Callithrix jacchus: one gene and its partners. The protein of the gene in region 2 purifies or fractionates together with the protein of the main gene of each other region. This does not show direct contact. Links are inferred from orthologs where the notes say so. Each region holds a gene or a part of one and is shown on either strand. Other genes may lie near its edges.

Region 1 (3,500 bases), on a different chromosome or scaffold from region 2:
GCTATTGCTGATTTTATTTCTTAAAAGAAACCTGAAATCTGGCAAATAATATGTCAAGGCTAGCTGGAAGTATATAGATATTATATTATCCTATATCTTTTTCCATGTATAAATATATAGTAGTAAATAATATCTAAATAAAAAGTAGTAAATATAGTCGTAAAGTTTTTTAACTTTTACAATAAAACACACTTTGAAAAAGACTGCTACTCCCCTCCCCACCACCGACCTCACTAATACCCTCCTTTCATTGGAAATTTCTAGCTTACACTTTCTCCCTCTCTTTCTCCTTTTATCTCTCTCTCCTCGCTCCCTCCCTCCTTCTCTCTCTTTCTCTGTCTATATCAGTTTTGCTTTAAGAAGAAATTGGAAATTAAACAAACTGAGATCAGTGACCTAGTGTCTCTTTAGTACTTTGGATTTACTAAACAATTTCCTATAGTTTCTGAGAGCTATTTTAATCACATTCATAGAAACTCAGTCAGTCTGGCCAATCAAGGAGGATAGTATAGTCCTGCTCTTTCAAATTATGTTGAGTGAAATGGCTCTCTTCTGTGGGAATCCCCTGTACTCAAAATATAGGTATTGGACTAGAGGCTCCCTTAAGTTATGGCTAGTTCTAGCATTTTAGAACTCTAACACAGACTTCTTCTATTGGATTGTTAGTTCTTTCAAACTAGACATATGTTCTAAGTACTAACCCTCAGAATACCCAGAATAGTACAGTTAGTATGTTAAATATTAATTAAAAGAATGGTCATCACAACTTTGAATTCCATGCTGTACTTTATACAAATGCCTCTATTTGTACCATATTGATTAATAATGTGACCCTTTCTTTCCCATATTTAGTGATTTAGAATCTAGAAGAGAAGTAAAAAAAGAAGAAGGTGAAGCTTTTGCACGAGAACATGGACTTATCTTCATGGAAACGTCTGCTAAGACTGCTTCCAATGTAGAAGAGGTAAATAAAAGGCCCTTTAAAAGGTTCATCTTTTTACTTAATAGAAATGTTTTATATATCTTCATTTCATTTATTATTTACTTTAAGATTTTAGTCTGATGGTCTTTGAACATCATAAAGTAGGAAAATTTCTTCCCTTTAAAATGGCTTGTAACATTCATCTTCTGTCAGAATCTTATATTGAGCCTTCCCTTAAAGCCTGAATGCTTTCTTACATCTTTGTACATATTTTTCTTCCCTCTCTTTTTCTAAACAATTTTCTATAGTTTCTTAGAGTTATATTTTAATCACATTCATAGAAACTCAGTCAGTCTGGCCAATGGAGGAGGATAGTATAGTTCTGCTCTTTCAAATTATGTTGAGCAAAATGGCTCTCTTTGAGAATCCACTATACTCAAAGATATAAATATATTGGACTTTTTTGTGTTGCATGGGAGGGAAATAAAGAATACTAATGAAATTTGGAAATGTTTCAAGACACCAAAATATTTGTAGCTGTTTGTATCAACTTCTGCTATTTTTTTAAATCGTATTTTTTTAACTGTCAGTATATTACCACATTACCACTTCTGTTTAAAATAGTATGTTATTGATGTGTAACGTTTTACAAAGCATGAGAATTCTGTTTCATCTATTGAAGAAATTTGTATTATCTCAATTATTCCCATTGGTCAACCTCAACTATTGGAACTTTTCTGAACACAGTGTATTTTTCTATGCTATATGTGTTTGGAGGTGGTATGTATATACATACTATAAATAGATGATTGCATGATTGATCCTTTCTGTGTATTACTATACTCTTATTTTATAAAAAGAGATAATGAAGCTAAGAAAAGTAGTAGTTTACCCAAAGTAATGCTTAGTTCCCAATTTCTGGATAAGAACAGCTTATAAAAGCAACTACAGAAAGTAGTTGTAAAAAACAAATGATTGAAGAATTATTGCTGTAAGGATAACAGAGGTCCGGGTCCTGGGCAACAGCTAGCATCATGTGCCTTCAACATAGTAAGCTGTCAGTAAATATTAGGAATGATACTTGAGGCTGGATGCAGTGGCTCATGCCTGTAATCCGAGCACTTTGGGAATCCAAGGCGGGATCACTTGAGGTCAGGAGTTCAAGACCAGCCTGACCAACATGGTGAAACCCCATCTCTACTAAAAATACAGAAATTAGCTGGGCGTGGTGGCAGGCACCGGTAATCCCAGCTACTCAGGAGGCTGAGGCAGGAGAATCACTTGAACCCGGGAGGCAGAGGATGCAGTGAGCCAAGGTCTTTCCACTGCACTCCAGCTTGGGCGACAGAGTGAGACTCTGTCTCAGAAAAAAAAAAAGAATAATAGTTTGGAGCTCTTCTGATTAACTCTTGAACCTAAAAATTTACTACAGTAATTCCACAGCATTGGTATGTTCACTGAAGAATTCTTTCTTAGGTAAAATATTAGTCATGTATAGTATTTTACAATACAGTAGACAAGAAGTCTCTTAATTATTTTTACTCCTACTTCAAGAACCCAAAGCAAAATTACAAAAAAGAAAAACCCAAAATAAATAGAAGGGAGGAAATATTAAAGAGCAAAGATCAATTAAGTTGAAAACAAAAACCAGTGAAACAGAGCTGGATTTTTTTTAAAAACATCAGTAAAATTAACAGACCTCTAGCAAAACTGACAGAAAAGGTACAAGTTACCAATGTCAGTAACAAAACAGAAACTATCACTACAGATTCTCCAGACATAAAAAAGGTATTTAGGGAATGCCATGAACAGCTCTACCCACATAAATATGACAACTTAGAGGAAATAGACCAGTTTATCCAAAAACATAAACTGCCACAACCCAGCCAGTATGAAAAAGTTAATTTCAGCCTGGCCAACGTAGTGAAACCCTATCTCTACTAAAAATACAAAAATTATCTGGGCATGGTGGCAGGAGCCTGTAATCCCAGCTACTCAGTAAGCTGAGGCAGGAGAATCACTTGAACCCAGAAGGTGGAGATTGCTGTGAGCCAAGATCTCACCATTGCATTCCAGCCTAGGCAACAGAGTAAGACTCCATCTCACACAATAATAATAATAATAATAATAATAATAATACAGAGCAATCTATAATTGCCTTAAAACAAAAAGTTTAATCAAAACACAGCTGTACATACAACTTAAACTAATTAAATTCAGTCCTTTAACACCATGATGACAATTTTAAAAATGAAAATTCATCAGAAGAGGCCTCCCAACCACCATAAAATACTAATGTTAAAATATGGAAAATGTCTATAGAAGCTTAATGGTATTTTTATGAATCCTTAAAGAATACAGATTTTCTTTTTCAAATTGTTAAATTTTTGCTCATAGGACTTTTTCACAAGAGCTCTTTATGATGTCACATTTCTGCAGAGAGCAAATTTTTATACAGATAGTTCTCTCCATATATGTTTAGCATATACCTAACAAATAATAATTAATGTTGAGATTTTTATTATGCATAAACTTTCTTTTTTTTCGAGATGGAGTATTGCTCTCACCCAGGCTGGAG
Region 2 (3,500 bases):
TAGGAAGGGGTCAGGCAAAGGGTATTTCTTAAGGATCTGGTGGGTGGTTTCCTGGTCTATCCCTGGGGTGGATGTACCTACAGGGTGAGTTTGGGAGGGGGGAACACGTAGGGAGAAGGAAGGCCCCAGACTTGAAAGAGCCAGTGGCGGGCAGTGTGAAATGGATCATCCCCCCTCATCTCTCTACCCTGATCCTAATGTGAGCTGACCTGCCCATGGTTCCAGCCCGATCATGTGCAAGAAATAACACAGCAGTGACAAAAATAGGACAGAGTCAACAGCTTGCTCCTCTTCTGTGCTCTGACACAAAAGTGAGCTGGGATAAAATTAACAAAGCATCTGGAAAAAGGAAAGTAGGACCTGGATCACAGCTTCACAATTTAAAATTGTAGAAGTTTATACTGTTTCTTTTACAACATACTCAGTGAGTCTGTGGCCTCCTGCAATGCCTTTGCAGTTAAAGCCTTGCTCAAGAATGCAACTTCATTTGTGATATTGTTCCCTTGGGATCATTGGAACCCCTTTTTAGTGGGCTCCCTCCCACTAGCCAGGAGCAAGTCATGCATGTGTTTATTTGTGTGAGTAAATATACATGTAACTTCAGATGGTGTATATGCAGATGCATTTGATAATTCAGGTATACTATATTTTAAAAATGAATGGAACGATCCTTCTGGTTAGTTGAGACTAATGATTCTAGGGATGGAGAAGGTACAGGAGATGAGGCTTTCTCACACATGACCCTCTCTCCTCCTGGGCAGAGCACACAGTATACAGTCCCAGATTAGGATTTTAATCCTGTGTACACAGCATATACAGCATGCCAAAGCAAAGGCTTCCAGGGATGCAGTGTGGTCCTTAGGGCAAAGACTATTTGAGTTGCTCTCCTTCCTTGAACACTGAGGTGCTTAATAAATGTTTATTGATTGACTTAGTGATATGTAGCAATCCCAAGTAGTCCTTTGATGGTTGGTTTTTAAAATAAAGTCATACTGGAGCTTAATAAATGTTTAATTTATTTGGAGGAAGTAGTTGGGTTTTTTCCATGTGAAGAGCTGCCACATTGGTTAGGTTTTACTGTATTATCTGTTAGAAATATGAAGTGGGTTCCCATAAAGTCCAAAAGTTTTGGGAGAAATTGGGTCCATCCTGGCATATAGTAGGTACTCCATAAATATTTGTTGAATGAATGAAATCAGAGCCACATGGAAAATGGTGTTTCCAAGAAAAGCTCTGATTTCTGTTTGGTGCATTTAATGTCCTAGTAGCTGATATTTTGTAAGAGGATATGTTTTATTGGCAAGAGTCCTGCAATTCAGTACAGTCACTGGCTCATGGGTATGTGTCTTTGACAGTTTATTCATTAAGCAAATATTTCCTGACTCCTGCTATGTTCTGGGCCTGGGCTCAGTCCTGAGGATGCTGAGGAGGAGAGGTCTAACGTGTTGATCCTCCTTCAACAAAGACTCATTGAATGCCTCAAGCTCTGGCCACAAAATGAAGGACAAGACAGTGAAGGCTTCTTGGCCCACACCTGGGAGGATAAGCTACCTGGAAGTCTTAGTGCTAGGTGATTTCTATTGGTTGCTAATTATATCTAATAATTTTTACTGATGGAAAACTTCATTTCCCTAATTCCCAATGTATTTATTCTGGTGATTCTTTTATCGTAGCAGAAGATGGCTGTGCCACCCACGTATGCCGATCTTGGCAAATCTGCCAGGGATGTCTTCACCAAGGGCTATGGTGAGTGTTGCAGAGAGGGGGTGCCTTTCAGCTAACAGACCAAGTTGGCATGTTTGATACTTGACCGATAACTGTTTAGGAGACCTGGGTAGGTCAGGTGTTCAGAACTTTCATGTGAGGGAAAGAAGAAGCCGCCTGTAGTGAGTGAAGCAGTTTTGGTTCTGCACCTAGTTGGACGGGCTCCCGCATTGGTGCTGTCAAGTGGATATTCTTGTTTTCTTTTCCAAGTGTGGAGCAGCCCTGTGGAAGCTGCTGCAGTGGAGCGCGGCTTCTATATTTAGCCTGTGCTTAGGCACATGCCCACGAGGCCCTGTGACCGAGTCTGCCAGCTGTCAGGTGTCTTCTTCTCAGTCCTTGCTGGGAGTGCAGGTGGGGCCCAGGTGGGCCTGTGCCCATTCTGTCTGCTGCTGTTCTGTGGCAGCTGAGCTCTTCACATGAGCAACAGCAGAGACTGGGTGCTCTCAGCCCTTGTGGCAGGAGCGTGCTTCTTTTAAAAAAGCATTTTGAAGCAACCGTGAGGGAGGCAGAGATGCTGTTCTCTAGTTAGTTATTTAACCTATTAAAAGTTACCTTTTCTTTCTTTAGGATTTGGCTTAATAAAGCTTGATTTGAAAACAAAATCTGAGAATGGATTGGTAAGTAGTCCAACCCACGTGGAACATTAGCATTTATTTTTTTTTTTAAGAAGATTTTAGATTCAGGGGGTACATGTGCAGGTTTGTTATATGAATGTATTGTGTAATGGTGAGGTTTGGGCATCTAGTGTACCCATTACCCAAATAGCGACCATTGTATGGAACATGGGTATTTGTTGTAGATCAGAAATAATTGTCATGACCTGGCTGGCAAACCCAAAAGAAGGTATTAAAAAAAAAAATTCTGGCAGTTTATGGTTGTCACATTCAGTGCATCCTCTACATGATGGGTGGTCCAGGGGAACCATGCCAATAGGCCCCCAATTCAGCAGTGGGTAATACTCAGAGGAGAATGGGGGCAGGTCTCAGTTTTAGTTTTCCTTATGCTTCTTATTTTCAAATTCACCTGTGTTCAACCACGTAAGAGTTTTTAACGTAATCTTAGTAGTCCCTTCTAGATTGTGAATGCAATAATTGTTGGAAGGAAGAAGTTTCTTTGGCTCAATGCTTTTTCTCTATACCGGGCTGGAGCCAAGATAGAAGGGTGATGCTTTCCTGTCCAGACTGAAGAGTTACGGGGAGGAAGGAAGCTGTCTGCTGACCATGAATTCCCTATAAGATTTCTTTACATAGTAGGCTCCTTGACTCCCATCTGTACTTTAAATATCTATTTGAATGTAGAGTTAGCCTTTGCTTGCGCCTCCCCCCTCCCCCGATTCAGGGCAGAAAGGCAAGTATAGTTGGTAAGGAGTGGAGTGAAGTCATTGAGTGCTGTGGTGCAGTCTGTGCCTCTCTCTCTCCTTTGAAGGAATTTACAAGCTCAGGCTCAGCCAACACTGAGACCACCAAAGTGACGGGCAGTCTGGAAACCAAGTACAGATGGACTGAGTACGGCCTGACGTTTACGGAGAAATGGAACACCGACAATACACTAGGCACTGAGATTACCTTGGAAGATCAGGTAATGGCTACTGTGAAAAGATGCGGACTTATTAATTCACATCTGCTGGCCTGCCTTGTGACTAAACCTACTGGCAAATTTCTTTTCTGTTCAGCTTGCACGTGGACTGAAGCTGACTTTCGATTCATCCTTCTCACCTAACACTGGGTAAGATTCTC
Region 3 (3,500 bases), on a different chromosome or scaffold from region 2:
TCATGTGGCCAGAATCGAATGCTCACCTTTCTGGGGCCTGTGGCTGAGAGTCAGGCACTGCCCCTCCTCCTAGTGCTCCTGAGTGGAGGCTCCTGGCATGGAGGGCGGGTTGCCCGGTGGGGTGGGGGGCTCTCCAGCGTACCCAGGAGCCTCTATGGAGGCTTTCTCCTCCTGTGGCCCACACTAGTGGCACTTCAGAACAGACACCAGCGCCATCAGCAAACGGAGGGCCCACGGGCGGTTGTTCTGTCCAGAGCCTTTTGGTCCCTTTGGGAGTGATGCCGTCCACCCGCTGAGAAGGTGGAGGACCCAGTTGCAGCACGGTCACCGGTGCAGACGGCCCCTCAGAGCCTTGGACTTCGAGGCACAGGCTGGCTCGGTTTCCCACAGGACGCCTGGGTATTCCCGAGGCTGGAGGCTGGATCACAGGGGCCTCTTCAGGGCCTGGGGGGAAGGTGGGTGGGGGCAGGTTGGCTGCAGGCCTCCAGCTCCTCTGCTCTGCCCCGTGCCCTGGCCCTGCCCTGCCTGAAGGTGGGGTGTGTTGACTCAGGAGCCAGCCCTGCCTTAGCACCCCGGGTGAGGACAGTGAGGAGGATGTGGAGGGCAGCTTCGCAGGGCCTTAGGAGGAGGAGGAGGAGGAGAAGGAGGGGGCCACTGTGGGGCCGGAAGGAGCTTGCCAGCCGGGCTGCCTCTGGCTGCACTTCCTGCCCTGACTCGCCTCGCCAGGCTCTGCACGTCGCTGCTGTTTTGCAGTCTGGGAAATGTAGGTTACCAGGAGGGGACCCTTTGTGAAAGTGGCACTGCCAAACGTTGTTAATTGCTCCTGCCTGGAGTTCACCTCAGGGGGTCAGCTGTGAACATCCCCTGTCCCTGGGGCCTTGGGGCCCATGACATGTGCACTGCTATGCAGTCTCAGAGCTGTGAGCATGTGTGTGTGCCTGTGTGGTGTGTGTCTGCGGACGTGTGTCCTTGAATGCATATGTTATAGCGGTGTCTGGGAGCCTGACCTCAGAGGGCATTCTAGGAGGGGCTGCACAGTCCTGGCAGGAGTTGCAGGTGGGTGGGGTGCGCCCATTCCCCACTTCCTCTGAGTGTTCTAAGACGGGCTGCACGGTCCTGGCAGGAGGTGGCGCAGGTGGGCGAGGCATGTTTACCCTGGATGTTCTAGGGAAGGGCTGCACAGTCCCCGCGCCTGCTCCCCGTGCTTCCCCAGGGCAGGGCAGTTCCTGGCAGGCGGGTGCCAGGCACAGTGGGAGGGTGCGTGTGGATTCTCCTGTGCTCCTTTCAGCTCCGGGGCCTTCCCTTCTGTTTTGAAGGGAGGAGTGGTGGTGGGCCAGTGGTAACGGTCCCTGAGGCACTGCCGGCTCCGTCTTCCCAAATCCTCTTCTCTGGGTGGCTGCCCTGAGATTGCTGAGGACACAAGCACTTTCCACCCGCAGGCCGTCCTAACAGCCTGAGTGGGGCCTCCTGGACAGAGCCCCCTGCCCCTGTGGGCTTTGGGATTTTATTTTCTCTGCAGCTCACCGGATCTCTCGGGTCAGGGTATCGGGCAGAAGGCAGAGGATGCTGCCCTGGGGACCGGCAGTCTGGAAGTTGGGGCAGCCATGCCCACAGTCCTCTGACAGAGAGGCCCTTGGGGCTTAAATTCCTGGCTGTTCTGCCCAGTTTCATGGGTTTTGTGTTTTAAGCTACGTGTGGTTCCTCATTTATGCCATCAGAAGCCAGTGTGTCTGCTGGGAGGGTGGGAGTCAGGGGGGCGTCCACGGTGGCTCCCACGGTCTTTCTCATGCGCTGCCCTTTGGCAGCCCAGCCCCGTCACTCTCCCACAAGCCGAAAGGAAGCAGCTTCCCCCCAGCCCTGGCCAGGAGTCCTGTGGGCGAGGCCTTCCCCAGGGCGGCACTAACGAGGCTCCGCGCCCGCTCTCCCTGCAGCTGGCTTTGTGCGGGCGCCACTGTCCCAGCAGAGGCGGGTGGGGGGCCGTGTGGAGCTGCACTGTGAGGCTGTGGGCAGCCCAGTGCCGGAGATCCAGTGGTGGTTTGAGGGGCACGGTCCCAACGACACCTGCTCCCAGCTCTGGGACGGCGCCCGGCTGAACCGCGTCCACATCCACGCCACCTACCGCCAGCACGCAGCCAGCACCATCTCCATCGACACGCTCGCAGAGGAGGACTCGGGCACCTACGAGTGCCGGGCCAGCAACGACCCGGACCGCAACCACCTGACCCGGGCGCCCAGGGTCAAGTGGGTCCGCGCCCAGGCGGTGGTGCTAGTCCTGCAACGTGAGTGGCGGGCGCCTCCCTCCCCGCCTCCCTGGTTCCCTCCTGTGCCGCTCCTGCTGATAGAACCCAGACGCCTCCTGCCCCTCTCTGCCCTGCTGGGCCCACCACTGGGACAGGGGGGCCCAGACCTGAAGGGGTGGACTCGCCCTTGACCGCCAGCGCTGGGCGACCTGGCTTGGGGCGGGCAGAGCTCTGCCTTCCAGCAGGTGGGTCCTTGTCCTCCCTCGACCCTGCACTGTCTGTGCCGCCGTCCCTCTCTGCTCCCCCGGGCGCCTGCCTGGCTCCTTTCCTGAGTGTCTGTCCACACTGCCAGCCTGAGGGGCCCTCCAGCCTCAGTCCAGGCTTGCTGCCCTCAGAACCTTCTGTGTCCTGCTCAGCGTCTCGTCCTAAGGGATTTTCACATTCAGTCCTAACCGGAACATTGTAAATTAACCAAGAGATTTGCTCGATGGGGATTGGCAGGAGAACCGGGTGCTCCCAGTGCTGCAGTGCCGTCAGCCTGGAATCGGGTGGATGGGGTCACCTGGGAGCCCCATCCAGGGGCAGGTCTCCACCAGCGGGCATCTGAGGGGCCGTCGAAGGAGGCAGCCTTGGCCAGGGAGGCAGCCTTGGCCGGGGGGCGATTTGGCTGTTTTTTTCAGACAGAAATTTCCAGTTTGTGCTGGGGCTGCTCAAGAGCTCTGTGCCCTGGTCCCTGCTCAGGGACGGGGTGGGTGCCTTGTCTGTCCCGACACCTGGGACCCAGCCTCCTGTGTCTCTGGACAGGAGATCACTGGGTGGGGCCCATCAGCTGCCAGCAAAGGCACCTTCCGGAGGTGCAGCCAGATGTTCCCCTCGGGGTGTCAGGGCCACGGTGTAGTTTCAGAGCCGAAAACAAGTCGTTCAGGGAGGAGCTGTGGGTTCCTGGGTGTCAGGCAGGCAGCGCGGGCTGTGCTCTTCCACTGTGTGCTGACTGCGTCTCCCCGGGCCTCGCAGCTGGGGCAGTTTCCACCTCCGTAGAAAACGTCGGCTCCAAGACGCTCCTCACCTGCTCTTTGAATGACAACGCCACAGAGGTCACCGGGCACCGCTGGCTGAAAGGGGACGTGGTGTTGCAGGAGGATTCGCAGCCTGGACAGAGAATGAACCTGGAGTGAGTGCCGGGCCCCGCGACGCCACTGCGTGGCCTTCTCACCGCTCTCTTGCTGCCATCGGCCTCTGTGGGCCGTGAGAACAGGCTTG
Region 4 (3,500 bases), on a different chromosome or scaffold from region 2:
AAATAAAACATACTAATCTTTTATATTGTTTAGGCAAACTTGTCATACAGTAAAATACATGGATTGAACTGTATCATTCGTGAGTAATCACCTCACCTCCCTGTATTTCCATTGCACTCAGAAAGTTCCCAGAGTACTTAAGTCTTAACGTTTATAGCTCAACTTTTATACACCACCTACATGTGACCACTACTTGGATCAAGATATAGGAAATTTCTAGTACCCTGGAGGTTGGACTCAGTGTCACCCGTTCATAGACACATACTCACATATACTATTTGTGAGGATTGTTTTGGATACTCTGGTGCTGAAATTTGCTTCCTGATGTCTGGTGTCACTTGTCTTTGTGGGTGACTCCACAATCTAGCCCATTTCCTCTGGCACCTCGGCATACACACTCATGGTGCTCTGCCAGCATTCTCCCAAGGAATAAATGTTTTGTCTCTCACAGATATGGGACACAGCAGGACAGGAACGGTTCCAGTCTCTTGGTGTGGCCTTCTACAGAGGTGCGGACTGCTGCGTTCTGGTATTTGACGTGACTGCCCCCAACACATTCAAAACCCTAGATAGCTGGAGAGATGAGTTTCTCATCCAGGCCAGTCCCCGAGATCCTGAAAATTTCCCCTTCGTTGTGTTGGGAAACAAGATTGACCTCGAAAACAGACAAGTAAGTACCAATGATGATAGGCATTGTCACACTCACCTGCTCCCCAGGGGCCTTGTGAATTTGGAGAGTTCCCTGCTAAGCTCACAGGTCTGTAGGAGGTGCTGGTGGAAGTCTTTTTACCCTATTCGAGCCCTTCAGGCCAGCGGCCTTTAAGGACCAGGACCCACTCACCTGGGTTAATTAAGTCCCCATGCTGCCCCCAACTGGCTGTGACTTTGGACCATTTTCTTGGCTCTCTGAGCTTCAGTTCCCTTTCTGAACTTTGAAAGAGGGAATTCGATTTTGTTATTCTTAGTAGTCGCCTCCCAGCACCTCCAGGCCATGCCTGGATCTCTGTGTGTGCAGAATATTGCTTTGGGCTTTGAGTGAAATTGCTGTACTGTACTTTCAAATATCATTTCTGTTGGAAACATAGACTCTTTGATTAATTACAACAAGGTTTATTTCTGACCATGGATCTCTTTTTCTCCCCTTCCTAAGTGACTTAGTCCTTATCTCTTGGCTGAAATTGGGCTAGGGGTTGGGGAAGGAATGAGAACGTGTGAGTGGCATGGGTGACATCACACTAGCAGTAATGGGGAAGGGACTATACATCTTAAGACCAAGCTGCTGAGCAATTCCTGTTCTGGGATCTCTGAGGTCCCAGTAAACACTCTTCATTTCTTCCTGGACTGGCTTCTTACTCCATTCACAAATGGCTTTTAAGGTTTGTGAAAGGAGCGTCAGAAGGTATGGGCTATAGACCGAGACAGGCTTTGAGCTGTCTTGCTGAATCCTAGCTATCCTGAACATAGCCAGCAGGGCGAGTTTGGATGGGTCTGCAGATCTCCTCCAATACCCTCTTTCTCTAAGTCTTTGTCCTCACCTGTACCACCTATAGACAAGGGGCCATGACACTTCCTGGGGAGGATGGAGTCACTGCTGGCGGCTTCTGTCATGAGCCTGTGTGCACCCTGCTTCTTTCAGGTGGCCACAAAGCGGGCACAGGCCTGGTGCTACAGCAAAAACAACATTCCCTACTTTGAGACCAGTGCCAAGGAGGCCATCAACGTGGAGCAGGCGTTCCAGACAATTGCACGGAATGCACTTAAACAGGTGGGTCTCCCACAGCTGATCAGCCCCTCTGGTGATGCCTGACCACTGACCCAGCTCATGCCTGGCCTCCTGTCCTTAATCTTCTTCCCTAGCCTACTCTTTTCTATATAGCCAGAAAACCCTATGTGGTCATCTGGGAAGGTTATGACATGTTCTGCTTAAGCTTCCAGAAATCCCACTTTGTGGGGAATAATCTAAAAGAGGCAGAGGCCATGAAGACTGAGGCTGCCCTTTTTTTACTAGGCTTTTTCTTGTTTTCTTTTCATGCAATTGGGAGAGCAGGTCACTGGGAGACCCCTATCAGATTGCTGCTTCTATTTAAGGAGGAAGTAAACTTGAATACGAATCCCAGCTCTGCTCCCTACCAATCATTATATCTAGTTTGGGCTTAAAAAAAAAAATATTATGGCTGGGTGCGATGGCTCACACCTGTAATCCCAGCCCTTTGGAGGCTGAGGTGGGCAGATAACTTCAGGTCAGGAGTTCAAGAGCAGCCTGGCCAACATGGTGAAACCCCATTTCCACTAAAAAATCCAAAAAATTAGCCAGGCCTGGTGGCAGGCACCAGGAATCCCAGCTACTTGGGAGGCTGAGGCAGGAGAATTGTTTCAACCCAGGCAGTGGAGATTGCAGTGAGCCAAGATCACCACTGCACTCCAGCCTGGGTGACAGCAAGACTCTGTCTCAAAAAAAAAAAATATATATATATATATATATGAACTTCTACCCCCTCACCTGAAAAATGGGAATACCTGCTTTTGCAGAGTGATTATGGAGATTAAATGGGACAGACTCTTTCAGCTCTCACATACTGACAGGTAACTTTTTTCCCTAGGAACAGTTAAGTAAACAACACAAGGAAGAAAACACAGGAAAACTATTCAAGGGCTACAGTATATAGAATTTCTGATTTACTGTTTCTGTGATTAGATATAACCACTCATGTGAGTTGAAAGTCTGTTTTGATGTACAACTGTGTTAGGGGCAGTGTTGAGTTAAGGCAGGTCACGAGGCATCATCAGACAGTATCTAGGGGTGGTCAGAGGTATGGTGGATTTGGGGGAATATAGAGAACACTTGAAGCGTGTGGTGGCTGTGAAGGGCAAGGCAGATTCTGCTGACTCCAGGAAGCTGGCTGCATGGAGGTAATGGCTTTCGGTAGGGCAGAGAGTTGTTTGGAATGGTTGCTGCAAGGACCAGGGAAATTCTGGCATAGGTGGGGTCTGCACTAAGTGTTCCAGAATAAAAGGGACAGACCTCTACCCAGTGAGGAAATTGTTCCACCCAGAATGCCAGGAGAGCCCTCAAGTTGTAAGGAGCAGACCAAGATGCAGACTTGGCTACTCTAACCCCCATATAATAAACTGTTATGTTTTTCTTAATGTTCATATAAAGGAATGGAAATCCAAATACATGTGAGAAAGTGCTTCCCACCTGTTTCCCTGTTGCCTGGCATCAGAGTTTTTCTCCTCCATCACTTCTGTCCCTGTTGTCTTATAATAATGCTTTTATTTTTAGAGCTAGCCTCTAAGGAGTTAAATTTTTAGATTGGAAGATGGGTTTTATTGTAAGTTAGGGTGCCAGGTTGTTTTCCCCAGGTGGAGTAACATTTCAGCAGTGTGGGCTTGCTTTCTCCTACCTCCTTGCCAGCAAGCAATAGGTGTCACCTGTCACTCTGCTGACATTGCCAACCTTTGGGTGAGTAAATAGCCACCATCGTGGCTGAGTCCCTCTG

Evidence for each region. Proteins that work in one complex are often made in the same cells at the same time.
Region 1: the proteins of VDAC1 (region 2) and RAB2A purify together in Homo sapiens (affinity purification with mass spectrometry; 3 studies listed by BioGRID and IntAct, with this or other methods). This does not show direct contact. The link is inferred for Callithrix jacchus from reciprocal best matches to the Homo sapiens genes VDAC1 and RAB2A.
Region 3: the proteins of VDAC1 (region 2) and BSG purify together in Homo sapiens (affinity purification with mass spectrometry; 3 studies listed by BioGRID, with this or other methods). This does not show direct contact. The link is inferred for Callithrix jacchus from reciprocal best matches to the Homo sapiens genes VDAC1 and BSG.
Region 4: the proteins of VDAC1 (region 2) and RAB7A purify together in Homo sapiens (affinity purification with mass spectrometry; 3 studies listed by BioGRID and IntAct, with this or other methods). This does not show direct contact. The link is inferred for Callithrix jacchus from reciprocal best matches to the Homo sapiens genes VDAC1 and RAB7A.

The regions. Positions count from the first base shown.
Region 1 is NC_133517.1:16,702,676-16,706,175, forward strand, and holds part of RAB2A (ras-related protein Rab-2A), read left to right. Parts: intron 1-852; coding exon 853-964; intron 965-3,500.
Region 2 is NC_133503.1:74,330,124-74,333,623, forward strand, and holds part of VDAC1 (non-selective voltage-gated ion channel VDAC1), read left to right. Parts: intron 1-1,355; exon of another isoform or gene 1,356-1,570; intron 1,571-1,673; coding exon 1,674-1,746; intron 1,747-2,331; coding exon 2,332-2,381; intron 2,382-3,189; coding exon 3,190-3,342; intron 3,343-3,436; coding exon 3,437-3,489; intron 3,490-3,500. UniProt on the Homo sapiens protein: Non-selective voltage-gated ion channel that mediates the transport of anions and cations through the mitochondrion outer membrane and plasma membrane.
Region 3 is NC_133523.1:534,400-537,899, forward strand, and holds part of BSG (basigin), read left to right. Parts: intron 1-1,931; coding exon 1,932-2,279; intron 2,280-3,254; coding exon 3,255-3,411; intron 3,412-3,500.
Region 4 is NC_133516.1:73,346,341-73,349,840, reverse strand, and holds part of RAB7A (ras-related protein Rab-7a), read left to right. Parts: intron 1-451; coding exon 452-670; intron 671-1,636; coding exon 1,637-1,765; intron 1,766-3,500.